Linked DNA regions of Mus musculus. The protein of the gene in region 1 interacts with the protein of each later gene in a pairwise test. Links are inferred from orthologs where the notes say so. Each region holds a gene or a part of one and is shown in the gene's direction. Other genes may lie near its edges.

Region 1 (4,161 bases):
GAAAGTGCATTGTGGCAGTAGCAAACATAAAAAAGAGGCTGAAAATGTTTTTAAATAAAAGGTTATCGATAAGCAAATTCAAGGAAAATCTGACCTCTTATCTTTTTTTTTCTGATCAAATTAAATCATTAAAACGTATTCAAAACTTCTGCGTATAGACAGTTAAAGTTGTTAAGATAGTCTAGTCAATTTTCCCACAAACATGATACTACAGTATGAATTAATTTGTAGTATATTTCAACAAATCTAAGAAGTATTAGGTGTAGTTCCACTTATTTCAAATCCTTGGTATTATCGTGCTACACTATCTACAGATAAGTTAAATTCTGGTAACTTCATCCCTGCGCCATGGACAGATTTAGGAGCAATTTTTGAAAAAAACATATCAAATGCCAGCTGAAATTTATGCTGGTTCACAGAGATCTCTGCGGCAGGGTCGAGGCGCGTGAGCTTCAGTGGACAAAACGTGGTGGCTGCGGTAGCAGAGACCTCTCAGAGCTTGGGTTCGCATTTCATTCCAGGAAGAGCAGGAAGGCGAGTTGCCGGGGTTAGGGACAAGGCCTACTTCGGGGATCCTTCGCACAATGAGGGTACAGGCAAACAACAGAGTGAGGAGTCTCAGGTTAGCAAGTTTACCTTTTAGCGCCAGCAGGTGCTCCTGTTTGGGGGGATTCACTTCCATCTTGGCGGGCACTTCTGACCTCAGCCTACGCAGGCTGAAGTTTCACCGGGTCTGGAAGGAAAGTGCAAAGCACAGGTCCCGGAAGATCGGGCTTCAAACGCACGCCCGACTTCTTTCTGCTCGTGAGGACTTAAATTCTCTTGTCACTAAATCCTTTACGGCCCCAGTGAAATCTTTGTACCATGGCCATTCCTTAGCTCAGAAGCACACACTTGCCTCAACCACTAAGGCTGACTACAACGATCCACTTCTTGCTGACAATTCGCGGCTTCCCAAAAGCTTTCATTGCCCGGTGGGGGTGGGGGAGGGCGCTACTGTCATGGCATGCTGGGATTTGTAGTTCATCATATACAAATTTCGCAGTGTACGCGGGGCAGGTGGCATGTAGCTCAGTCCTTTATTCTGATTCGTTTCAGTTCTAGAGAAAAAATATTGTTACAGGAATGTCATTTTCACCATAAAATTTTATTTATGTTCCATACTTAAAAAAAAAAAATTTCTCCTCTCCATTACTCGCAGATGCTTTCATGAAAAACAGTGCGCACGCGCAAGCCGTACAGCCAATGACTGACGGGAGAGAAAAGGTCAGAAGGGACCGAACGGCTCGCCATCTATCCTGCGCATGCGTGAGGGCGGCATGCGCCGAGGCTTCTGGGTAGGACGCTCAACCCCTCCTCTCAGTAAAAGGCTCTCCTGCAGCTGTGGCGCGGCTCCATCCAGGATGGCTGCCCTCGCTGTAAACAAGCCCGGAGCCGGAGTAGACAGTGGGCGGCAGGGCAGCCGGGGGACGGCTGTGGTGAAGGTGAGGGAACTTGCGTGCTCTGTTCTCCACCTGCGGCCTCCCTTCGGTTCGTCCTGGAGACCTGGCCGCGACTGTGTGGCCCAGGCTTGGCCGGGTGGGATGCGCGGCCTCTGGTGGGCGTTACAAGCCTTTCCGCCCTTCCGCGGTCCTTGCCCCGCGGAGCTGAAGTTGCCTGGTCTTCTACCTCAAGTGTCAACGTTGTCCGTGGGGCTGTTTGTGAAAAGCATCGCGTGAAAGTTGACCTGGATTTATTTGGTCTTTCCCCTAGTCTTCTGTTTCTAGTGATGCCTCAACAGGCGTTACTTACTTGACTTGGTTGTATTAAACACTTATTGCAATAGACAAGTACTGTCGTAGATGGTTCAGCTCGCAAATATCTACTTAAAAGGTAGATGTTAAATCGCATTTTACATGGGAGGAACCCTAGGTTTAAGTTAATACAGTATGTGCTAAGGGCTCAGAGTTTACTGGTTGTCAACGTCTGCCATTCAACATTGCCCTGAACAGTAGAGACTGGAAACTTCTGAACTCTCCAACTGCAGCACATTTGGGCTTTAACACTAGATGTATGGAGTTTATAACTCTCTGGTTAGAAGATTCTACCGTCTACTTATTTACGAGCTACATTTACTAAAAATTAAGTGCAAGTGTGAAGATCATTTTCCTCACCCACTGTAACCTAGATCTAAAAGGGGCAGGCGTTTTAGGGAGTCACTCGGAAAGATTATCTGTTGCCAAGAGATTAAACAACAACTCTTTCTGAGTGTGTTGACGACAGGACATTTTTTTAATTCCCAGAAGTAATTTTAATGGACACTTGGATTTATAACAGTGAACCCAAGTCTGGTTGGACATTCTTTTAACTCGTTAAATGGTAGATATCTCTTTCTGTCTCTGTCTCTCTCTATAGCAAAGGTCTGCTTTTGAGGAATATATGCCTACGATGTATTATCAGTCGTATTTTATTGGTGTTGAATCAGTTAACTTTTTATATTAATGAAATTTAGAGAAGCCCTCATTAAGCATATTTTGTGCTTATTGAGATTTAATATTTTGAATTGTGTTTTTGCCAAATGGGAATACTTGCAGAATATTTTGTCATTCTTTTCCTATAATTGGAATATCATGTCTAATTCTCCTTAACACTTCGTTTTACTTTACTCATAAAGTATTCTGCATATGTACATGAAAAACATAACGGTTGTAGTTATGGCATATGAATGCACTATAATTTCCCTTTCAATTTAGTATTTATATGTATCTTTCCTTGTTTTTAATTAATGATACAAATAGTGCTTTAAAGAGTTACACACTGGTTTTGTCATATGTGGGCTGGATGTTATTCACTAGTAGACCATTTACCTGCTATGTGCAGGAACCTGAGATTTCCCAGTGGCAGAAACAGCAATAGCAACAAAGAAGAAAGCACTTGGATCCTGTCATGTATGTATGACGCAGTTTAGAGTAAGTTCCATAAGTACTGCTAAATTGTGTCCATGAATGCTATTATTAGTCAATAGACTTTTTGTATTAGTCAGTGAAATTGTTTTCCTATACTTCTATTAATACAAAACTTTAACAACTTTTTGAAAAAAATATCTTGATGTAGTTATTCTTTGTTCTCTAATGAGTTAGACTGAAATCTTAATATAAAGTTTTCTTTAACATTTAGCAGGTATTTATCTCTTTTTTTTCCCTATGAATTATACCACATTTAAGTTTCTTTTGAATTATTACCAGTATGTGAGGTAACTACAAATTACCAGTTTAATTGTAGTAAAAGAAATTTGTATCTCAGTTTCTAAGTCTAAATGTATTAGAGAATCAAGTTGTCTTCTGACCTCCATACTTGTTCTGTGGCACCTTATATATGTGTGTGCACACACATCCACACATAGAAAATAGCATAAACTTGTAAAAGATTAATGGAGTCATACTATATGTCAAAAATTGAATAATTTATCTATCTATAGAAGAAAGCAAGGGTGTCTCTATTTTAGGTTTTAAAATACTAAGAAACATGCCTGGCTTGGTCAATTGTTTTTAAATCTAAAATATGTGAATATTGTTTCAGTAGTGTTTACAGGGCACATGTTTCTGTTTTATATACAGGTTCTGGAGTGTGGGGTTTGTGAAGATGTCTTCTCTTTGCAAGGAGATAAAGTTCCTCGCCTCCTCCTCTGTGGCCACACAGTCTGTCATGACTGTCTTACTCGCTTGCCTCTGCATGGAAGAGCAATACGTTGCCCATTTGATCGACAAGTAACAGACCTAGGTAGGAAAATTATATGAGGTTAAAGTGAAAAATTATTCAAACACAAATGTCACAGAAAACAAATTTTTACACCTGACTTTTTATGTTACGTTCCAAAGAGCTTTCACAATCTGAGTCTCTACTAAGGTAGATGAGGTCCACTCTTAACTGCCATGGGAATCTGAAACTTCCATAGCTATGCTTAACACAAAAAGCTTTAAGAAGTATCAGAAATATATGCTACCCTTATTCAAAGAAATGAGACTACTTTATTCATCCCAGGTTAAGTCCTACTAATGCTCTGAATACAGAACATGGTTTCTTTTTTTAAATGAAAGGTAATCAAAATATAAAGTCATTCAACTCTCAGTATTTCCTCCCTCCCTCACTCCTTCCTTCCTTTTTTCTCTTCCTTCCTTTCGT
Region 2 (3,112 bases), on another chromosome or scaffold:
GCCTTCAACCTCTACCTGACCTCACACTCATCTCCCACATGGTCCTGTCCCCTTAAACTGGGCTGTCCCTTTTCTCTCATTTTGGGTTGGATTCAGGGAAGAGTGCTGGCCAAACTCTAAGCTGTTGCTGTGAGCGAAGTGAGAAGTGAGTCATAGACTAATGTCCCATATCCTGGCCTCTCAGGACAAGAGCTTCATGCTAGGGTTTCCTTTGCCTGTTGGCCTGACTGGGACGGAGTCCCTGAGAATCTCTGTGCAGAGGGGTGATAGTGATGGCTGTGTCAACTGAGGAGCTGGAGTCAAGCGGGCAGTGGGCTGGGCCACACTTAGTACAGGAAGGGCAATGGTGGCTTGTAGCATGGTCTAACTGGGTGGCGTGTCTCTGTTTGGAAGCTCTCACTGCCTCAGGATCTGGAGGAGGATGCCCAGCTCTCAGACAAAGGTGAGGATACCGTGTACTATCAGAGGCATGTAGGCTGCAGTCTCCTGGCCTCCCTAACCCTGGCCCATCCTCAGCACGTAAAGCTGTGTCACTTACTTTGTCTCAGAATTCACACCACTCCAGCCAAGGATGATACTCCCCAAGGCAAGGAGAGTCAATGGTGAAGGGCAGAACTCTTAGACTAACACACCCGGAGAATAAGGAATCTGATTTGAATGTGGGACTTAGGTCTCAGGGTCTGTGGCTCAGAGGACAGTGATTGTGGAGGCCCCATCCCTCATAGGCCCATCTTTCCCCACTAGCCTTCCTCCTGCAGGGGGAGATACTAGCCAGTACCCAGGTGTGCTCAATGAGGAGGGGAGGAATAGAGCTACGGACAGGGCCACAAGCAAGGAGCTGGGGGTTGTGCTATCCACAGCAGGCTGACAGGCGGGACCCTCCTCTGATCTAATAGCTGGGGGGTGGCAGCTGGGGCAGCTGAGGGTGGGTGGCGAGAGGGTCTGGCGCAGGGAGGAGCCCAGGGAGCTTTCGTGACAAGTCAGACAGACTTCCTCAGCTCAGCCTTACCCCAGGCTCTAACCAAAGGCAAAAGGGGAACAAGAGGTGTAGATGGAGAAGCACGGGTCACCCACTGCAGCCCCCAAGACCCAACCTGAGGTCACTGAGCTCCATGTGGGCACACAAGGAGAAGGATGCAAGAGCAGCCAGCTCCCTTGAAGGCATGCCAACAGTTAGGCACAACGAAAATGAGAGGGGAAGGGGGCAGGGCTGCTGGGACGGGGTTGTTCTCACACCCTGAGCCCTCCTTGGATATAATTGTTTCTTGATGTTCATAGCCTTCCCTGCACATCTTCTACCTAGAGGCTTGAGCCTTGGTTTGCCCAGGACCTGGGGCATGCTGGCTCTGGCTACCTGGAATGATTATTCTTCTAATTAATATGGTGTACTTGCACTAACCCAGGCCCCCGATGCCCTGAGCTCTCCACTGAGGCTGCCCCCACACCACCCATGGGAACCACTAGACACAAAAATGTTGCCAAGCTAAAAGGGACATGGACTGGGGCATGCATTCGCAAATAATCATGGGGACCTGGAGTCTTTCCTAGCCATCTGTCCTTGTGTTTGGTGACAGTCAGCTTGGGCGGTATGGGTGACTGATGGTAGGAGCCCTGTTGATGTAGCAGTCAAGGGCTCAGCCTGTTTCTGTGAAATGCAGTCCCCACTGGACTCATGCAAAGGTCCCAGCCCGTAAGGCTGACCTAGGCTAATGCTAGTTGGGCTGTTTGCAGAGGGAGGTGGCCATACCAGATGGGGCCCCCATAAGCACAGATCTTCCTTTCAGGTGTACTGGCAGACAGGGAGAGCCCAGAGCAGCCCTTTATGGCTCTGAACAAGGAGCATCTTTCACTGACCCATGTAAGGCTGATTGGGGTTCCCAAGAGCCCTGGTTACTACATGGCTGATCCTGGGGAGGAGGGTGACGCCACTGGACAGCTGGGGATCACAAGGTCTTTGGTAGTGTATGGGTAGGATGTAACATTTGGATAGTGGGGTGGTTGGACAGGGGAGGGGACAATGTAAGGACACCCATACTGCTGTTCACTGCAAAGAAGTCTTCCACTCACCTGGCTACAAAGGGGTTGTCACCCCACGCTCAGTCATCTCGGAGTCCAGCAGACCCCACGGCCAGCTAGCTATGCTCCACACCTGCTGGAGTCCCAGGGCTGCCGTGGTAAGGCCACGGTGTCCAGCTGCCCGCCCCGTTGTCCAGCTGCCGGCCCCGTTCCTTCTCTAGGGCATGGGGCCCAGCAGCAGCGAGCCCCCGGAGAAGGAGCGGCGGCGCCTCAAGGAGAGCTTCGAGAACTACCGCAGGTGTGGGGCGGCGGGCAGGACGGCTGGCGGGTGGGACACCTGTGCCTACCTGCTCACACTGCGGGCCCCACAGGAAGCGGGCGCTCCGCAAGATGCAGAACAGCTGGCGGCAGGGAGAAGGGGATCGCGGGAATACGACAGGCAGCGACAACACCGACACCGAGGGCTCCTAGCGAACCGCGCCGAGGCTGAGCATCTGTGGAATTGTGAAAGGATGCTGCGGTTTTTTTTTTTTTTTTTTTTTTTTTACTGTATTAGAATTAGAAAATGCAACTAAATAAAATAATCACCGAGCTGAGCCTGTTGGTTGGATATGCAAGCGGGGCGACACCAGGGGGCAACAGAAAGCAGTGCACCGGTGGCGGATGGAAGCCGAAGAGGGCCGCTTCCGGCCGCTGCGCCCGTTACCAAAATGGTCGACGCAGCTTCACGGGGCGGTGCAAGAAAAGGTGGCTAAGGATTCGCAGGCGGGATGTTGCGGACAGCGCTGAGCCGCATGCCGACACTACTTCGTAGTGTGCGGACCCGGGATTCCGGACCGCGGCGGCTTTGGGATTTGGGGGCTCGCCTAAAGACCGCGGAGAGACTTCGGGGCTGGGCCTGGGGCTGGGCCTCGGGCTGGCGGAGCTCGAGCTCCGCGCCGGGATCAGGGCGTGCGGCGGCGCTGGGGCGCGTGGAAGCGGACCACTATCAACTCGTCTACACCTGCAAGGTGGGCGCTGTCGGCAACACCTGGTGCTGGCTGGTTTCCTGTTGGTGTAGGGTCCTGGCAGAAACGTGGAAGTATCCTTCGGACCA
Region 3 (4,054 bases), on another chromosome or scaffold:
ATCACTGTTCATCATTGAAGGACAAGAACTCAAACACGGCAGGAACCTGGATGGGTACTGCTTACTGGCTTGCTCCCTGTGGCATGCTCAACCTGCTTTGTTACAGCACCCAGGACCACCAGCCCAGGGATAACACCACCCAAATGGGCTAGGCCCTCCTCTATTAATCACTAATTGAGAAAATGCCCTATAGCTGGATTTTATAGAAGCATTTCCTCGGGGCTGGCAAGATGGTTCAGTGGTTAAAAGCATTGACTACTCTTCCAAATGGGTCCTGAGTTCAAATCCCAGGAACCACATGGTGGCTCACAACCATCTATAATGAAATCTGACTCCCTCTTCTGGAGTGTCTGAAAACAGCTACAGATAATAATAGATAAATAAATCTTTTTTTAAAAAAAAGCATTTCCTCAACTGAGACTCCTTCCTCTCTGACTACTCCAGCTTGTCTCAAGTTGACACACAAAACCAGCCACTGCACAGTTATTCACTTTACATATAATTAGATAAAATTTGTTTTCATATTTTATTCATTTGTTCATGTTTACATGTATATGTGTTCATGCATAGCATGGCACTTGTGGTGCCGTCAGAGGCAACTAGTGGCTAACTCTATCTTTTTACTATGTAGGATCTTCAAGAACTCAGGTCTTCAGCTTTTGTAGCAGACACTATTACCCATTAAGTCATCTTGTGTAAATGAAACTTTTTTTTTTGGGGGGGGGGGTTCGAGACAAGGTCTCTCTGTGTACCCCTGGCTGTCCTGAACGCCTGCCTCTGCCTCCCAAGTGCTGGGATTAAAGGTGTGCGCCACCACTGCCCGGCAGTAAATGTAACTTTTATTTGCCTGATGTAATTGTTGTCTCCATGGTTTACTGCTTTCATCTGCTAAAGTAGACCTAGCCCTGGAAGCCTCCAGCCTCTATCAGTAAGGTTCACATTGTGGAAGCACATTATGAGTTTTATTTATTTTGTTTTGTGTATATAAACATTTTGCCTGAATTTATGTTCGTGCATCACATGCGTGCATGGTGCCTGAGGATGTCGGGAAAGGGTATAGGATACTCTAGAACTGAATTCATAGCGGTTGAATACCGAGGAATAACCTAATCAATCTTCCACAGCGGCTATACCACTGAGAACTACATTTCCCAGGATGCCGTATGGCACGTTCCTATGACGTTTCAAAGAGTTTCTGCGCCCTGATTCCTGTTTCCCACGGCTACAAGGCACTTGTCTTTGAGGCGTTGCATGCTGGGATTGATTCTTACGTTTCCCGGCCAGCCCCTCACGGCTCGAGCTAAACTTCCCAGCAAGCGGAGCGCTCGCCTGTGACTCGAGCGAAGATGGCGGGCCGTGAGAGTCCGCCGCCGTCTGCCCCGTCAATGGCTCCAATTTCTTTCGGGTTCACTCGCACGTCTGTCCGGAGGCGACTGGCAGACCTCGGAGATAGCGAAAGACAGGCCCCAGAGGAGAAAGATTTCTTGGCGACCGTGGAAGGGAGGAAGCTGCAGAGGTGAAACGCCGGGTCTTTCGCGTTTTGGAAATCTGTGAAATGGGCTTAAGCAGGAGGGCAGAGTAAGAGTTGTTTGTCCTGGTGACAGTGGCCTGGAAAGCCTGAAACACTGCCTCGGGAAATTTATGGAGGTAACCAGGAGTGGCGGCAAACGCCTATAAGTCAGGACCTGGGAGGCTGGCGCAGGAGGATCAGGAATTGAACGCTAGCCTGGGCAACTAAAAAACAAACAGGAAGAACATAAGAATGTAAGGGCAAGAAGAGGGAGGTTTGTTAGGTGGGTGAAATGGGGCCTGAGAACCAGAGGTATAGATTCCTCAGAAAAAATGTCGTTGGGACTTGAGTATGTGTGCCTTTTGAGAAAGGGAAAGGAGGGAAAAATGACAGGATTCTTCCTGTCTCAGCTGAAATTGTGGGAGCTTCTCCGATTTGGAGAACTAGGCAAATTCAAGTCTGGGGAGGCCATCAGCAGTATAATTAAGTAAGAAACAAAGGTCCGAAAGGCCTAAGTGGGGGACTTGTAAAAGGCAGCTTGCCGGCCCGGAACCGGGAAGAATCTGGACTAAAGATGGTGATTTTTAGGCCATTGTGGTTGAAGGCCTAAGGCTGATTCCCACAAGACATACTTAAAGAGATCCATGGTTGTAATTCCAGCACTAGGGGATTGCACCAGGCTGACTGAGAGTTTATAAGACCAGCCTGAGCTAAATCGTGAGATGTCTCAAAAAAAAAAAAAAAAAAAAAAAAACGAGTGGACCTGTGAATAGTAACCTGTGAACATGGTCCATAGGACTGGGCATTGATCTTTCTTTCTTTCTTTCTGGCCATTGAAATTGATTTTCTTTGTTTCCTAACCTCCTTTCTATCTTGATATTTATACTTTCTTTCTTTGGAGGGGGCGTCAAGACAGGGTTCCTCTGCATCCTGGCTGTCCTGGAACTCACCCTGTAGATCGGGCAGGCCTTGAACTCAGAGATCCTCCTGCTTCTGCCTCCTGAGTGCTGCTGGAATTAAAGTCATGCGTCACCACTGCCGGCCTGATATTTCTGCTTTGTGACATGTCTACTTTCCCAACCTTTTTTCTCTCCCGACATAAGTGTGAACCCTCCAGAAGCCCCCAAGGAGCTGGTTATCCCGTTGATCCAGAATGGCTCTCGCAGGCAACCTCTGTCCAAGAACCCTAAGCCATCCTCAGAAACTAGCACCGTGTTGATGTCAGACGGTGTGTTGTCCCAGGCTGTGAAGGAACTCATTGAGGGTGAGTGGACCCTGTCTCTTTGCTCTGCCCCAGTGCAGATAGAAGGGGAAGATGTTGGAAGGATAGGCTGTGGCCTCATTGATCCCTCCCATTCTTCCTTAGAATCCAAGAAGTCTCTGGAGGAGAGGGAGAATGCAGGTGTTGACCCCACGCTCACTATCCCCATGATCCAGAAAGGATGTACTCCCATTGAGGAAGGATCAGACAGCGAACCTCAGGCTGAGACAGTGAGCGGCCCCTCTACCTCCCTCCTACACTGTTCCCTCTGCCCTGGCTGCCTAGCCTCCTTGCACATAGCCGGAAAAGTGTGTGTGCGTGTCCCTAAGCCCTGCCAATTAGCCTTTCCTCCTTCCATTCTTATTAGAAAAATTAACAAAATAGATAGGGCATTTTAAAAACGTACTTGAATTCTGGGATGATGTGAATGAGGTGGACAACAAAGTAGACAGGACGTACAGGTGCCATGAGGCTGTGCATTGTTTGGAGCCGCATTGGCCTGTTTCCTCTTTCCTTCTTTCTTTGGTCTGATTTCAGACTGCATGTTTGAGGAGCACTGAGAAAGCCTACTACTGGATTGCAGTGAATGATGAGGGGTTGGGCAGTGGATGAAGGCAGAGGGGGGCAGGACAGAAAGGGCATTCTGAGCTCCAGAGGGCTCCTGTCTTTTACTGTGAGTGAAGTGAGAGCTAAGGGGATGTCTTGAGCAGACAAGGGTTATAACAGGGTCCCCATTGTCTGTCCTGACCAAAAATGACTAGGAAGTGAAGGTAGGGAAGGAAGAAAGGAACCTAATGCAGGATAGAGGTCACAAGGACACACACATTCATAGGAGTGGCTGGAGTGAGGGCTGGAAGGACAGTTAGGGTTTAGTGAGAGAAGAATGATCAGAGTGGGCACTTTTTAGTTTTTTGAGACAGGGTTTCTCTGTATAGCCATGGCTGTCCTGGAACTCACTTTGTAGACCAGGCTGGCCTCGAACTCAGAAATCGCCTGCCTCTGCCTCCCGAGTGCTGGGATTAAAGGCGTGCTCTACCACGCCCAGCTCAGAGTGGGCACTCTTAATGGCAGCAACAGCCCAAGAAAGCAACACTTATGGGTCAATCTGAGCCAACTTGCAGTGTGCTGTATCATTGGAAAGGAATGAAGAAATGACAGCAAAAGAGATGGAAAGTGTGTTTGTGGAAGTCAAGTTTTGAGTTCAGCTTCTTAGCTTTTTAGCTTTTTTTTTTCCTTTTGACACAGGGTTTCTCTGTATAACAGAGATCCTCTGGCCATCCTGA
Region 4 (4,115 bases), on another chromosome or scaffold:
TCAGACTCAAAGACATTTCTTCTTTCTCAGTGAGTGTTGTTTTTCCACCTCTGATGGGTAAGAAGCCAATGATTCTGATAAGGACTAAGATGGAAAGAGAGGGACCAATCATAACAGGTCCTACCTTGTGGCCACAGAGAGAGCCTCCCTATGGGCCTGGTATACCTTCCAGCACACTCAAACAGTAGGCAAGTGACCGACCAGTTCTCTGGTCCTTTACTCGGGATTTTGGGGGTACACAGGAAACATGGTGGGTGCTTTGTCTGCCCCCACCTCCTCTCCACCCCTCCTGGTGTTGGAAAGTGCCTCTGGTCTCCCTTACCTTCCTCTCTCCTCTTTCTCTATCTAGATTCTTGTCCGGCCTATGTCTCCTCTGCTCCGTTTGTCTCTTCCTGTTTCTGACGTGCTGTTTTTTCCTGTGATGCTAGTGACTGAATCCAGTGCCCAGTTGAATATTGTATGCGTGAGCACATCCATAGCCTGGCCGCTGTCTCCTGCAAGGCTGGAAACCTCTTCCACTTTCCACCATCACTCGGATAATGCTTCCTGTTGCTCTGCCTATCATCCCATCACTGCATCTGTCTCTTAGCCCCAGCCCATGTCTCCCATTCGCTCCTTTTCAGGTCCAGCTGTCATTCCTTCCATCTCTTCAGTGACCTGCTAGCTACTTTATCTATTAGAGAAAAAAAAAAAGCCTAAGCAACATTATCTTCCCCACCCCCTCTCAAATCATGGCCTCAAATTGTTTTAAGTTTGAGGAATTGGGGGAGTTTTCCAGCAACCTTGCTTGGCTAAGGTCTGCCATTGTCTAAAGAATGATAGGTGGCTCCCAGAAAGCTTCTCTACTCCCATCAATGAGGCCCGGGGGGCGAGGACACATCCCCAAAGTGACATGCAGCTGCTTGGCCCAGGCCAGGACATTGGAGGCCAGACTGGCCCACAGATTTCTCAGCCTGAGAACTTCAGATTACTAACTCTGCTCAGAGTGGGATGGGACAGGCAGGCAATTTCTGGTGCCACCTCCAGGGAGGGCAATGTCCGTCTGGGGAGTCCAGACAACCCCTATTCCCCACCCCTTCTAGAGTGCCAGCCTCTGCCCTCAGGCACCCTTGAGCTTTGCAGGCTGGGCGGGGACACCTGGATTTCTCTGGCCCCCTGAGAAGAGCCAGCTTGGAAGAATTTCCCAAAGCCTATTAGAGCAACGGTTGCCTCCTGCCTCCTTACGCTGGGCAGGGCCGAGGGCTGAGGCGGGTGGAGGGAGCAAGGGAGGGCAGGAGGGGGAGAGGAGGAAGGAAAAAGTTGGCAGGCAGACAGCAGAGCCCTGTCTGCATCCATCGCAGCGAGGAGGCTCGTGTGGTGTGGGGCGGGCCAGGAGCAAGGAGAGGCCTTCCTCCCTTTGTGCTCCCCCCACCCAGCCCTATAAATAGGCCCAGCCCAGGCTGTGGCTCAGCTCTTGGAGGGAGTTGAGCACCAGGCATCCAGCGGTTAAGTCGAGGTCCCTGCCAGCATGGCCAGTGAAATCAAGAAGAAGCTCTTCTGGAGGGCTGTGGTGGCTGAGTTCCTGGCCATGACCCTCTTCGTCTTCATCAGCATTGGTTCTGCCCTAGGCTTCAATTACCCACTGGAGAGAAACCAGACGCTGGTCCAGGACAACGTGAAGGTGTCGCTGGCCTTTGGTTTGAGCATCGCTACTCTGGCCCAAAGTGTGGGTCACATCAGCGGTGCTCACCTCAACCCTGCGGTCACACTGGGGCTCCTGCTCAGCTGTCAGATCAGCATCCTCCGGGCTGTCATGTACATCATCGCCCAGTGTGTGGGAGCCATCGTCGCCACGGCCATTCTCTCGGGCATCACCTCCTCCCTAGTCGACAATTCACTTGGCCGCAATGACGTGAGTGGGGTATCTTAGGCTTAGGGTGTCTGTAGGAGAAGACAGAGAGGGAGCTGGCTCCATTTGCCTACTGTACAAGGGGGATACTGAAGAACAGAGAGAAGGATGAAGGTTTCTGGAGTCATGCTGAGAACTGGGGCTAGAACTCAGTTGTACTGCATGGTCTCTTTGCTGGTTGGTGCTGTGAGAATGGAGGAGCTAGACAATATGGTTGTGCCAAAGTCCCCTGCAGAGTAGCTACTGCCAGGAATGAGCTGGAGGGGCAGCTAGGTGCATGCCAGCAGTTCCTCCCCTCTTCTGAGCTACCTGAGCAGTCACCTTCCCCCTTTGCAGTCCCGTGCACTAGGCAACCTCTACCTACTGTCCCGAGTACATTTTCTCCAGCTACCCAGTGTGTTTAAAGCCACTTCTGCAAGTGTCTGAGTGTGACTCTCTTGATAAGTTGCCTGGGCTTCTAATCGGCTTCTAATCCTTAGCCAGGTCCCCAAATCAACTTCCTCAGAAAGTCAGGAGACAGCCCCCTTTCCTCCCTCTACCCCCAATAATTAGACAAAGTTGAGAGAACAATACTCTCTCTGGAGCTTTGGGAGAGTTTTCTAGATACCAGTTCAGGAGAAGGGCTCAGCTCAGCAGTCCCTGGCCACTGAACCGTGGGGCATGCTGGCTTGTTGTGTGCGGAGGTGGAAGCGAAGGTGTGTGAGTGTCTGCTTGGGTCCTGAACTTGTGTAAGCTATTTTCACGTTGATGCTGTGTTGTTGGAGAGTGTGTAAGCACTTGTACCCATTGTTCCTGGCTTTAATGATAAGCAGACGCTGGCAACAGTACGTGGCGACTGCTCAACATAACTGTCTTTGGGCTACTCTACATGACTAAGTGGCCTCTGTGGTGGCTGCCTGGCCACTGACCTTTTCCAGTTTCTTAGCTAAGTGCCCATGATGACTGAGTTCACTTGGGTTTAGCAGGAGTATCTGAGTAAGGGTGTAGGGTGTCTCAGAATGGAATAGGCTGGAGTCCCTCACCAGAGGCAAAGACTAACGGCAGAGTGGTAGAATAAGGTCCAGAGAAACGAAGCTGGCTGGACCCCAGCAGGGTAGATGCATGGGGATAGGCGCAAGGGCGTGAGCCAGGACTCTGTCCGGTGAGTTGGATAGCTATGCGTGATTAGACATCTTTCGTTTCCCAGCTGAAGTTCAGGTCCTGGAGATGCAGACCAGGAGGAGGGAGGTGAAAGTCTGGTGCAGAGGGCAGCTGCCGTGGCTCTGCTGCAGGGATGAGCACTTCTGTACCACAGTGACACCTCACCATCACACTTTTAAGTCAACCTCTGCTCAGCTGGGGATTGAAGATTAGCCCCATGGCTGGAGTTTAGACTTTAGCTGGAGAAAACTTGGAGCAGGGTTAGACGGGCCGTGTCCCTCTAGACTTCAGTCTCTCCAATAGGAGCAGGGCTAGGTGCCTTAGTGAATTCCTTCGAGGAGGTTCGAGTTGCTACCGAGGTGGGGGATGGGGAGGATGGAAGCAGTGCCTGCTCCCTCCTAGATCTTGTCTCTTCCAAGTCAAGTGACAGGCAAGACCTATGCCCTTGCTGGCAAAGGCTTTGCATTTCTAATACGGTCATCCAAGGTAGAGGCAGAATGTGATTGCTTTAGCAGGCAGCACCTGAGCCTGGCTACACCCCACTTCAGACTCCTTACCCCCCTTCCCCAGTTTTCCAGAGGTGCCAGAGTATCTGTGTCAGGCAAGATATATACAGCTGAAGGAGAAAAAACGCTTCAGGCCAGTGTGAGAACAGCTTGGGGAAGAAGGCAGGCACCCTAAGCCCTGTTTGTTGTTAGCCACTGAGTCTTCCTGGAGGTGAGCATCCTGAGGTTCACAAGCAGCCTAGGTTCTGGGGTCATTCCTGCTACTCTGACACTACTGGCTTATATTGTTGGCTGGAGCTAAATTACTGACCCCCAAAGGGCTTGGCTAAGAGGACCCCCAGCAGCGGCATCAGAGGAGGGACCAAATATTGTGCTGAGGTTCCTACTATCTCATCCAAACAAATAATGAACCTTTGACATGTGGCTCTCTTGGGGCACTGGCTCCTGGTTATGGAGGGGCTGGGAATGGCCTCAGTGCCTTAGAGGAACAACAGTCAGTGGAACAGGTGGCAGCCTCTCCCCTCTACTTCCCCGGGGAAGGCTCTCACAGTCCCTCTGCTCTTACCCTCATCCTGCCGCCA
Region 5 (3,500 bases), on another chromosome or scaffold:
ACACATCATACATACCATATATATCACATAATATATGCCATACACATATAATATACAGCATACATCAGAGTCATATATACATCCCATATACACATAAACAAATCATACATCATACACACATCATTGACACATTAACAATCATGCATCAGCCAATCATACACACATCAGTAATAAACATTTTAAAAGATATTCTCACTTGGGAGCAGAAGCATGTGTTTTGAGTTTGCACCAGCTTGGTCTTTGTATCAAGCTCCAAGCCAGTCAGGCTGCACAGGGAGACCCAGTTTCAAAAACCAAGGTATACAAAACAAAGAGTAGCTTGAGTGGAGGGTCACTGATGCCAGGGCTGTTTAGCATCCTCATCATGGTGGCAGTTTCTAGAAGGAGAGATTGTTAGGTCAAATGTAGCTAAGACTGGCCCTCCTGATTCTCCTACCCCTGCCTCCCAAGTGCTGAATTACAGGAATGTGCTACCACAGCTGCAAGATAGGTTTTCACCAAACTCATATCCAGACCCGGATGTCATACCTGAACAACACAGGGTGTCAACACTGGAAGATGGGAGTAAATAGGAACGTCATGTAGCATTTGTTACAGCATGACTACAGTGACCTCACAGCAGAAAGCCTCTATTGTTACCACCATTGGGTTTCTGAGACAGAATCTCACTTTGTACTCCAGCCCAGCCTCACACTCTGAATTTCTTCCTCAGCCTCTAAATGTGATGATATATGTGTGCTACCAATTCCAGCCCTATGCCAGCTGGGTTTTTTTTAATGATGTATTATTTTTTAATTACCTATACGTATGTGTGTGTGTGGGTGCCTCTGCCACAGTGTGCATGTGGAAGAAAGCAAGTCTGTGTAGTCTGTTTTCTTTACCATGTGGATTCCAGGGATCAAACTCAGGCCATTAGGCTTGTCAGAAAGTACCACCTCTACCCATTGAGCTATCTCATTTGCTCTGGTGTATCTTAAGCTGATAAGTGGCTGGTGGGATTAGCCAGTAAAGTCTCATGTCACCAGATCTGACAATCTGAGAGCTTTCATAGGAGGAGAGACTCCTGCAAGTTGTCCTCTGCCCCCCATCATGGTACATGTGAGTGTGTACCTGCACACACACACACACAAACACACACTCATAAATACTTTAATAAGCTAATGAGTTGTACCACTGGGCCAACTGGCAGGAGAGACTTTAAGCCCTTCATTGAATCGCTGGGGTGGGTACAAAACTCAAGACTTTGTGCAACTAGGCAAATGCTCTGTTATGGAGTCACCCCACAGCCTACCACCTGGATTTTTATATTCTGAGATCCTGAGTGCTTGGTGCTGGCATAAAATGAGGGGCCTGTGTACTTTCCTCCTCCTGCCTTAGCAGAAAGCTCTGTCTAGAGTAGCTTCTAGAGCCCACTGTGGTACCTAGTGGTGGATACAACTATCTGATCTTGAGGACGGGATCCTCAACTAGGAAATCTCCAACTAGAAAGTTCTTCAGAGTGCTTGCTTATTGAAGGCCAGGACTGAATCTTCTTTTTCCACAGGAAACAAGGCCAGAGCTGGGAGCCCTCAAAGCAGCCAGCCAGCCACAGAGAGAGTCCCTGAGGTTCCCTCCCCATGACATCAGACCAGAAGTCCAGACACAGCCAGATGGAACCCTTTCAAAGGAGAGGACAATCTCACTAGATAATAGAAGCCTGGGGAACAATGGTTTTGAGATGGCCACAGTTCAAGACAGTAGTAGCCCCCTGTCAGATGCTGCTGCTGAAGGCAGGGAGGCAGACAGCAGAGACCCACAGGAAAGAGATGCCCAAGGAGGGGAAGCAGGGGCCCAGCATTCTGGGGAACCCCAGGAAGGAGAGGACATCCTCTACACATCAGCATTAGCTCCTGCCTCAGAGCCCACCTGGTCTGTGGCTCAAGACCTCTCTGTCCCCACATATACTCTCAGCAGCACAGCTGCAGCACCCAGCTCCACCAGCCCAGCAGATGCCTCTCTTATGGACACTGTCATTACAGAAGTGAGCTTAGATCCCTCTGTGCTGCAACAGAGTGCTCCACAGGTGGCCAAGCTGCTGGGCTCTCTGGATGAGCAGATCCCTGATGGAGGCTGCATTGGAACTCTGCTGAGCTCCACACCTCTTGCTGAGGAGACCACAGCAGGCAGAGAGGAGGCCAGATGGGAAGAGAGGTGTCATGGTGATACCCTGGCAAGCTTCACTGAGACAGAGCCTGAGAAACAAGAGCCCGTGACGGAAGCTGGAGATTCCGGCCATATAGCCCAAGAAATGGATCCAGTGGTCAAGACCAAGGACTCTGGCTCTGATGAGCAGTCGCCAGGAGATATAGGAATGCTGCCTTTACCAGCACAGTCCATGAATCAGATGTTGGTAGAGTTACGTGGCCTAACTTGTGATCAAGACTTAGAGGGCCTCAGTACCCCTCATACCTCCTCTCAGCTAGAGCACACTTGTGCAGCTAGTGACCCTCCCCAGAGCACCAAGGACTGTCACAGCAGCCCAGGCATTCCTGTACACCTGGCAGCTCCCTGTCCCAGAGACCAGGCTGCATGGCAGGAGTCCTCAGCAATGGAACTAGACTTCCTGCCTGACAGCCAGATACAGGATGCCCTGGATGCCACTAACATGGAGCAGGTAAGAGCTTTCTGTACTCAAATGTACACCCTGTCACCTTTAGGTGACAAGATAGGGCTAATGTGTCTGACTATTTATACAACATAGATGTCTGAGGGCAGAGAATCATAGCAGCTTTGGGCAAGGTGGAGCCTGGTTTTTGTCAAAGGCCTATCTGTGTGGGCCTGGCCTCTGTGGCTGCTAAGGAGCTGCACAGGATAGGGAGAGATAGGAAGCCTGTCAGTCTGGGGCCTCCCTGCCATAACTAGAGCCCTCATATGTGCTACCCATGCCCAGCATCTGCCCCTGGCTAGCAAGGGGCTGTGTAAGACCATTATCAACACACCTAAGAAGCCAGTGTCCTCACATCAGACGGAGGAGAGGGAGCTCACTGCTGAGCTGGAAGAGCCCGCATGCTCTTGCAGCTTGCTGGGAATCGTGACTGATTTTTCTGCAGGCACATGCGTAATTGTGTTGTAGTTCCTAAGGTTCTTGTGCACCCACAACTGCCCAGATGTGACCTGGGCCTCTGAGCCTAGGTCAGCCTTCACGTTTACCTGTTAGCCCCACCCATGGGAGAAAGAAGCCCTGCTCTCTGCTGCTGCACTTGGTCTGACAAAGGGCTGTACTGCCAGACCCTGAAACTAGGCAGCTCCCTCCTACATAGTGTGTAGTAGAGGGGCTGAAGGAGGCTAGGCACCTGCTGGAGAGGAGGAGCTTGTGGTACACCTACATCTCCTGGAGTCCAAATCTCCTCTGCCTTGGAATAGGGAGCTGGGTGGCTTCCAGCAGGCTACGAGAGTTCTCTCCCAAAGAGCCAATATTTCACATGGTACCACAGCCTTCTGTTGAGATACTTACTGATCTA
Region 6 (2,646 bases), about 83 Mb from region 1:
AAATGTCTGTTTTTGACAGAAAGTCTAAAACAGTTCACAGGTAATATGAGGAAGAGAGTGGGTTTATATTCTGAGTGTGTTGTTATCATTGTCATCTGAGGATGGATTTTCTAACCAGTTAAGAGTCATATAAACCGAATCTCTTCTTTTTTTGTTTTTAGAAAAGATGCAGTCAGATATGGAGAAGATCCAAGGTAAATTTACCTATTTCCTGAGCTCTTGACATTTTAAGTTTCTTGGAAAGAAGCGAGTATATAGACAGTCCAGGGGGTGTCAACAAGATAGCTCAGTAAGTGCAGTCACTTACTGGGCAAACCTGTCGACCTGAGTCTGCTACTTGGAACCTATACAAAGGTATAAGGAAAGAACAGAATCCACGTGTGTAATGACATTTGTGATCGCACACGCACACACACGCACACGTTATTCATGTGCTTCCCTACCTGACACCGTTGCTTTAGTTTGGGTTTGGTTGAGACAGTCATAATGTGTAGCCCAGTCTAGCCTATTACTCACCGGTCTCCTGCCTCAGACCTTCTGCCTCTGGGGTTACAGGTGTGGCGCCATATCCACAGCTACGTTTAGTTCGGTGGCTAGTAACCAGAAGTGGCTTTCCTTGATCTGATTCTTCTTTCTCTTCCTCTTCCTTTGCCACTTCAAAGACTTGTGTGAAATCCTTGGCCAGCTAGAAACCCCACATAAATTAATGATGGCAGTGGGTGTCATTTGAGCCACCCAGCCTCTACAGCAAAGATGGTTCGTACAAGTTAAGAGTTATATATATTATATGTCATGCATTTGAACTTTGCCTTTGCAGAATCCAGTGGCTCTCTGGAGGGTGGAATTCTTGATCTTGGCTCAGTGTGATACCATGTTTTACAAAGTTCATACATGTTATCTGTATAGCCAAGGTTCCCAAACCCCTAACCCTAAAAATCCTTGCATGTGCAAAGCATAGTGGTGCATGCCTGTAAACCTAGTACCTCACAGCTCATCAGCAGTGACTGCCATGAGTTTGAAGCCAGCCTGGCCATACAGTGAGTTTCAGGTCAGCCTGAGTTACATAGTAAGACTGTCTTTCTAAAAGAGAAAAAAAAATTCCTGGGCAGATAAGCAGATATGGAGTCATAACATCAAATGAAAATCAGTACCCAATTGACACAGGCGTTCTGCAATGCTAGTGGGTTCCACTGCTTTATGGTTTGTTTTTTGTTTTTTGTTTTTTCACTTAACATGTTTCCTAGAAAGACACACAGGTTCAGTAACTTCTTTTCTCTCTTGTCTTTCAGAGTTGAGAGAGGCTCAGTTATACTCAGGTAGGTACCTGAAGACAAACCATGTTGAAGAAAGGATTAAAAGCCCTATGAGCCTGACCACTATTATAAGTGCTTTGAGACAGCCTCAAGTTTGAATCCTTTAGTTGCATATACACAGATATCATACAGCCAGAAGCCCAGTAGTTGGGAACATGAGGCAGGGACATCAGGAGTTTAAGGCCATTTTTTTGCTACTTAGTTAATCCACATAGATTTCTGTTTCAAAAAAGATAAAGGGAAAAACTTAAAAGAGTGGATGTTCAAGGCAAATTCTCAGAACAAATACAAGAATGATTTGAAAGGTGGTAATATTAAACTTTAGCTAAAACTATTGGCCACCAAAGTTTTCAAATTCAGAAATTAGACATATGTAAAGAAGCTTTAAATGAAATCTCCGAAGGAGGTTGAGCCTTAGATGTGAGAAAAGGAGTGGGAAGTAAAATTGTATTACTTTCATTGTTATCCATACAGAGGCAATCAGCTAATCTAACCGTAAATTTTTAGGTTCTGAGTCAGGGTCTTACTATGTAACACTGACCATGCAACATGGGCTGGTCTGGAACTCCTGAAGATAACTTCTGCCTCAGTCTCCACGTGTGCCACCATGCTTAGTTCCAAGAGAATTTTTTTACATAATCAGTTCACCGTGTGTCTGATATATAATGAGTACAGCCTCTGGTGGGCATCTCCTACAGTGTTCTGGGGAAGTCAGTGAAATACCAGGTAGTCTTGAGTGGGCTCTTCTGGCCCTCAGATGACACCCCCCCCCCTTTGTTTCTACAGTTGATGTAACCCTGGACCCAGACACAGCCTATCCCAGTCTGATTCTTTCTGATAATCTTCGGCAAGTACGGTACAGTTACCTCCAGCAGGATCTTCCAGACAACCCTGAGCGATTCAATCTGTTTCCCTGTGTCTTGGGCTCTCCATGTTTCATCGCTGGGAGACATTACTGGGAGGTAGAGGTGGGAGATAAAGCCAAGTGGACCATAGGTGTCTGTGAAGACTCGGTGTGCAGAAAAGGTGGGGTGACCTCAGCCCCCCAGAATGGATTCTGGGCAGTGTCATTGTGGTATGGGAAAGAATATTGGGCTCTTACATCCCCAATGACTGCACTACCCCTGCGGACCCCTCTCCAGAGAGTAGGGATTTTCTTGGACTATGATGCTGGTGAGGTTTCCTTCTACAATGTGACAGAGAGATGCCATACCTTTACTTTCTCTCACGCTACCTTCTGTGGGCCAGTCCGGCCCTACTTCAGCCTAAGCTACTCGGGAGGGAAGAGCGCAGCTCCTTTGATCATCTGCCCTATGAGTGGGATTGATGGGTT
Region 7 (2,968 bases), on another chromosome or scaffold:
GGGTTCAGACTTTGACAGCTGAGCCTTATCTATGACATGGAGGACATGGGGAGCGCTGCGTCATTTGGCTACAGCGTAAACTGACAATAGATGGCTTTTGAGTTCAATTCCTGACCCTTACCACTACTAGCTGTGCAAGCTCACCTTAACCTGCCTGCGTCTTGGCTTCTGCATCCCCATCGGCCAAGTGAGGTTAACACTGGTACTGTTAGAGGCTACTGCGCTGGTGTTTGCAAAGCCCTTAGCTAATGCCCAGCCCTTGCTTGGCACTCAGGGACGGGGACTGTACTGACAGAAGGACCTCAGCAAGCCAAGCCTCAAGACTGCTCCTGAAGACCCCGGTTCAGCCTGGTGAGTTTGTGTGGATGTGGGAACAAAGGAAGGGTGAGTGCCTGCACCAGGAAGGCAAGGGTCAGCAGGCCTCAGGGAGTGGGGTGAAGTAAGGGAGAGGTTGGAGGGAGGTCTGGCTCAGTGGTGGCGTGCTCCTCCAGCATTCACATCCCAAAAACACACACACACACACACACACACACACACACACACACACAGCAGACAAGACCTCCCGGGAAGGTCAGAGGTCAGCCTAGTTGTGCGTGTATCTCTGTTTCTGCCCTCTCCCTGCCACTTCCTGCAAGACAATGTCTACTGTGTTCTCTGTCCCAGTCCCTTGTGAGCCATGGCCACCAGCCCACCCAGGGCATTGGGATTGATAAGTGTTTGCCAAGGTATTATTGTGCTCTCGGGGGATGCTGAACGGGTAGACTTTGGTGTTGTAGATACTACAGGAAATGAATGTCCTGTCTCCTCCCAGCTTCCTTACCCCTCCGAGGCGAGCAGGAGGCTGTCCCTCACTCCGACGACGGAGGGGGAAGACATCATCTGGGTCTGGCTCAACGGATACCATTAAAAGAAAGTCTGACAAACACCAGGGTGAGCCGAGACCCTCCCAGGATGGGGAAGGGGTGTTCAGGAGGCACACTGAGGGTTGTGGGTAGAATTGGCAGACCCGGGACTCAGGGTATTTGGTCTTTTGCTGGAGTTGGGACCAAGCCCTCTTCAGGGTAGATCTGACTTCCTTTGTTGGGTATCTGGGACCCAGGGTGAGAGATGACAGACTGTTATGTGTGTCACTATCAAATCAGTACAGTGGCTTAAACATGGCCAACACTTACCAACCAAGCATTAATTCCTTCATTCCACTGGCATTTGCTAACTGGCTTTTGGATTCAGCCATGGTTCTAGTTCCAGAAAAAATATATGTGTGTGTGTGTGTGTGTGTGTGTGTGTGTGTGTGTGTGTGTATGTGTATGTATGTGTGTGTGTGTATATATATATATGTGTGTATGTGTGTGTGTGTGTGTATATATATACATATGTGTGTGTGTGTGTGTGTGTGTGTGTGTATATTCTAGAAAGGGGGGCAAAATAATAAAAGACAAAATAAACCCCACCCCACAAATGTAAAATGAAATATATAGGATGTCACATGGTGACATGTTCTTTCTAAAACTAAATGTATAAGGTACTGAAAGGACGTGGGAGAAGGATTGGTGTCATAAATTGGTAGTTTAGAGCCACGCTTGGTGGAACATGACTGTAACCCAGAGGAGGCAGGAGAATTGCCTGGGGCTGAGCCATCGTGAATTCCAGGACAGCCTCGGCTATGTAGCAAAACCCTGTGTTTAAAAATAGAAGGTGTGTGTGTGTGTGTGTGTGTGTGTGTGTGTGTGTGTGTGTGTGTGTGTGTGTGTAGGGGAATGGATGAGTAGGGCTGGCAACTTAACTCCCATTGGTCAACTTATAACTGCCTGCCAGAACTTATAACTGCCTGCCAGCCAGGCATGGTGGCGCACACCTTTAATCCCAGCACTTGAGAGGCAGAGGCAGGCAAATTTCTGAGTTCAAGGCCAGCCTGGTCTACAGAGTGAGTTCCAGGACAGTCAAGGCTATACAAAGAAACCCTGTCTTGGGAGAAAAAAAAAAACCTGCCTGCCTGTAATTCCCTCTCAAGACATCTGATGCCCTCTTCTGGCTCACATGGGCATCCAACACATACATAAATTCGGGAAAAAAATTGTTTAATGTTTACAAAGGGCATGCTAAGCAGTCTTTTTACAAAATGTAGTATGGCTAAGGCACTGTCATTGGGAAGATAAGGATTGCCTATGAGACCAGAGTTGAGGCTGTGACTCAGACAAGATGGGGAGGGCTGCAGATGCAGAAGCCCCGAGGAGAGGAGACATCTAGTCTTTGTGAGTTGGCAAAACAGACCAGAGAGGTTGAAGCCTAGACGAGAAGAGGGTCTGAGATGAGTTTGCAGTGACGACAGGTGAGAGATGAGGTAAGGACAGACAAACCAGTGTAAGTTCTTGGTAAGGACAGACGAACAGAGCACTTGTAAGTCCTTGGTGAGGACAGATGGACAAAGCACTATAAGTCCTTGGTAAAGAGCTACAAACAAGTTTAAGTTCTCTGCTCTTTCTTGGGCTGAACAAGAGTCAGGGGGAGATGCATGAATAGGGAGAGAGAGTTGGTTTCTCACTTGAATAAACCACTCAAGCGCCGCACATCGTGGCAGTGTGCCTGTACTCCTAGCCTCTTCCCTACGTGAGCCCCCAAAGAGTAGCTGCTGCAGTGGGGAGAACAGGAAGGTAGCTTTGGGGGCCTCCACTGGACGGTGATGGCTCCCATCTGCTGCCCTCCCTCCCCCATTCCTGCAGCCCAGTTGTATAGTACCACCTTCCATCACCGAACAGTCAGCTGTTTATAGACAGTCTCAGGGTGTTCGCTCCCCAGGCCTCTCAGCTGTGATTTCTATCAACAACCCTTGGGCTGGGCAGGATGAGAAGAGTTTGGCTGGAAGCCCTGCTCAGCCAACCACCTCTCTCCTCAGAGCACATATTCATCCATGAAACGCTTTGCCATTCGACGGAAAGCCCAATTCACACCCCTCCGATCGCTACCTAAA

What was found.
Region 2: the proteins of Trim23 (region 1) and Card9 interact in binary tests that used the Homo sapiens proteins (3 or more experiments, as listed by UniProt). The two-hybrid records come from large-scale screens. The link is inferred for Mus musculus from reciprocal best matches to the Homo sapiens genes TRIM23 and CARD9.
Region 3: the proteins of Trim23 (region 1) and Gpkow interact in binary tests that used the Homo sapiens proteins (3 or more experiments, as listed by UniProt). The two-hybrid records come from large-scale screens. The link is inferred for Mus musculus from reciprocal best matches to the Homo sapiens genes TRIM23 and GPKOW.
Region 4: the proteins of Trim23 (region 1) and Aqp1 interact in binary tests that used the Homo sapiens proteins (3 or more experiments, as listed by UniProt). The two-hybrid records come from large-scale screens. The link is inferred for Mus musculus from reciprocal best matches to the Homo sapiens genes TRIM23 and AQP1.
Region 5: the proteins of Trim23 (region 1) and 4930432K21Rik interact in binary tests that used the Homo sapiens proteins (3 or more experiments, as listed by UniProt). The two-hybrid records come from large-scale screens. The link is inferred for Mus musculus from reciprocal best matches to the Homo sapiens genes TRIM23 and BRME1.
Region 6: the proteins of Trim23 (region 1) and Trim27 interact in a two-hybrid assay, tested with the Homo sapiens proteins (2 studies listed by BioGRID and IntAct). The link is inferred for Mus musculus from reciprocal best matches to the Homo sapiens genes TRIM23 and TRIM27.
Region 7: the proteins of Trim23 (region 1) and Troap interact in binary tests that used the Homo sapiens proteins (3 or more experiments, as listed by UniProt). The two-hybrid records come from large-scale screens. The link is inferred for Mus musculus from reciprocal best matches to the Homo sapiens genes TRIM23 and TROAP.

What each region holds. Positions count from the first base shown.
Region 1 is NC_000079.6:104,177,478-104,181,638, forward strand, and holds the start of Trim23 (E3 ubiquitin-protein ligase TRIM23), read left to right. Parts: upstream 1-1,361; 5' UTR 1,362-1,403; coding exon 1,404-1,484; intron 1,485-3,596; coding exon 3,597-3,759; intron 3,760-4,161. Other genes in the region: Trappc13 (trafficking protein particle complex subunit 13), read right to left, coding at 637-682.
Region 2 is NC_000068.7:26,351,687-26,354,798, reverse strand, and holds the end of Card9 (caspase recruitment domain-containing protein 9), read left to right. Parts: intron 1-393; coding exon 394-442; intron 443-1,784; coding exon 1,785-1,858; intron 1,859-2,237; coding exon 2,238-2,314; coding exon of another isoform or gene 2,315-2,387; coding exon 2,388-2,487; coding exon of another isoform or gene 2,488-2,506; 3' UTR 2,507-2,612; downstream 2,613-3,112. Other genes in the region: Dnlz (DNL-type zinc finger protein), read left to right, coding at 2,787-3,026. UniProt on the Homo sapiens protein: Adapter protein that plays a key role in innate immune response against fungi by forming signaling complexes downstream of C-type lectin receptors.
Region 3 is NC_000086.7:7,695,880-7,699,933, forward strand, and holds the start of Gpkow (G-patch domain and KOW motifs-containing protein), read left to right. Parts: upstream 1-1,254; 5' UTR 1,255-1,346; coding exon 1,347-1,516; intron 1,517-2,613; coding exon 2,614-2,774; intron 2,775-2,876; coding exon 2,877-3,001; intron 3,002-4,054. UniProt on the Homo sapiens protein: RNA-binding protein involved in pre-mRNA splicing. As a component of the minor spliceosome, involved in the splicing of U12-type introns in pre-mRNAs.
Region 4 is NC_000072.6:55,334,984-55,339,098, forward strand, and holds the start of Aqp1 (aquaporin-1), read left to right. Parts: upstream 1-1,315; 5' UTR 1,316-1,507; coding exon 1,508-1,891; intron 1,892-4,115. UniProt on the Homo sapiens protein: Forms a water channel that facilitates the transport of water across cell membranes, playing a crucial role in water homeostasis in various tissues.
Region 5 is NC_000074.6:84,165,038-84,168,537, forward strand, and holds part of 4930432K21Rik (uncharacterized protein C19orf57 homolog), read left to right. Parts: intron 1-1,543; coding exon 1,544-2,653; intron 2,654-3,500. UniProt on the Homo sapiens protein: Meiotic recombination factor component of recombination bridges involved in meiotic double-strand break repair.
Region 6 is NC_000079.6:21,189,931-21,192,576, forward strand, and holds part of Trim27 (zinc finger protein RFP), read left to right. Parts: coding exon 1-40; intron 41-161; coding exon 162-194; intron 195-662; exon of another isoform or gene 663-756; intron 757-1,289; coding exon 1,290-1,316; intron 1,317-2,099; coding exon 2,100-2,646. UniProt on the Homo sapiens protein: E3 ubiquitin-protein ligase that mediates ubiquitination of various substrates and thereby plays a role in diffent processes including proliferation, innate immunity, apoptosis, immune response or autophagy.
Region 7 is NC_000081.6:99,077,973-99,080,940, forward strand, and holds part of Troap (tastin), read left to right. Parts: intron 1-274; coding exon 275-351; intron 352-663; exon of another isoform or gene 664-676; coding exon of another isoform or gene 677-725; intron 726-811; coding exon 812-930; intron 931-2,832; exon of another isoform or gene 2,833-2,893; coding exon 2,894-2,968. UniProt on the Homo sapiens protein: Could be involved with bystin and trophinin in a cell adhesion molecule complex that mediates an initial attachment of the blastocyst to uterine epithelial cells at the time of the embryo implantation.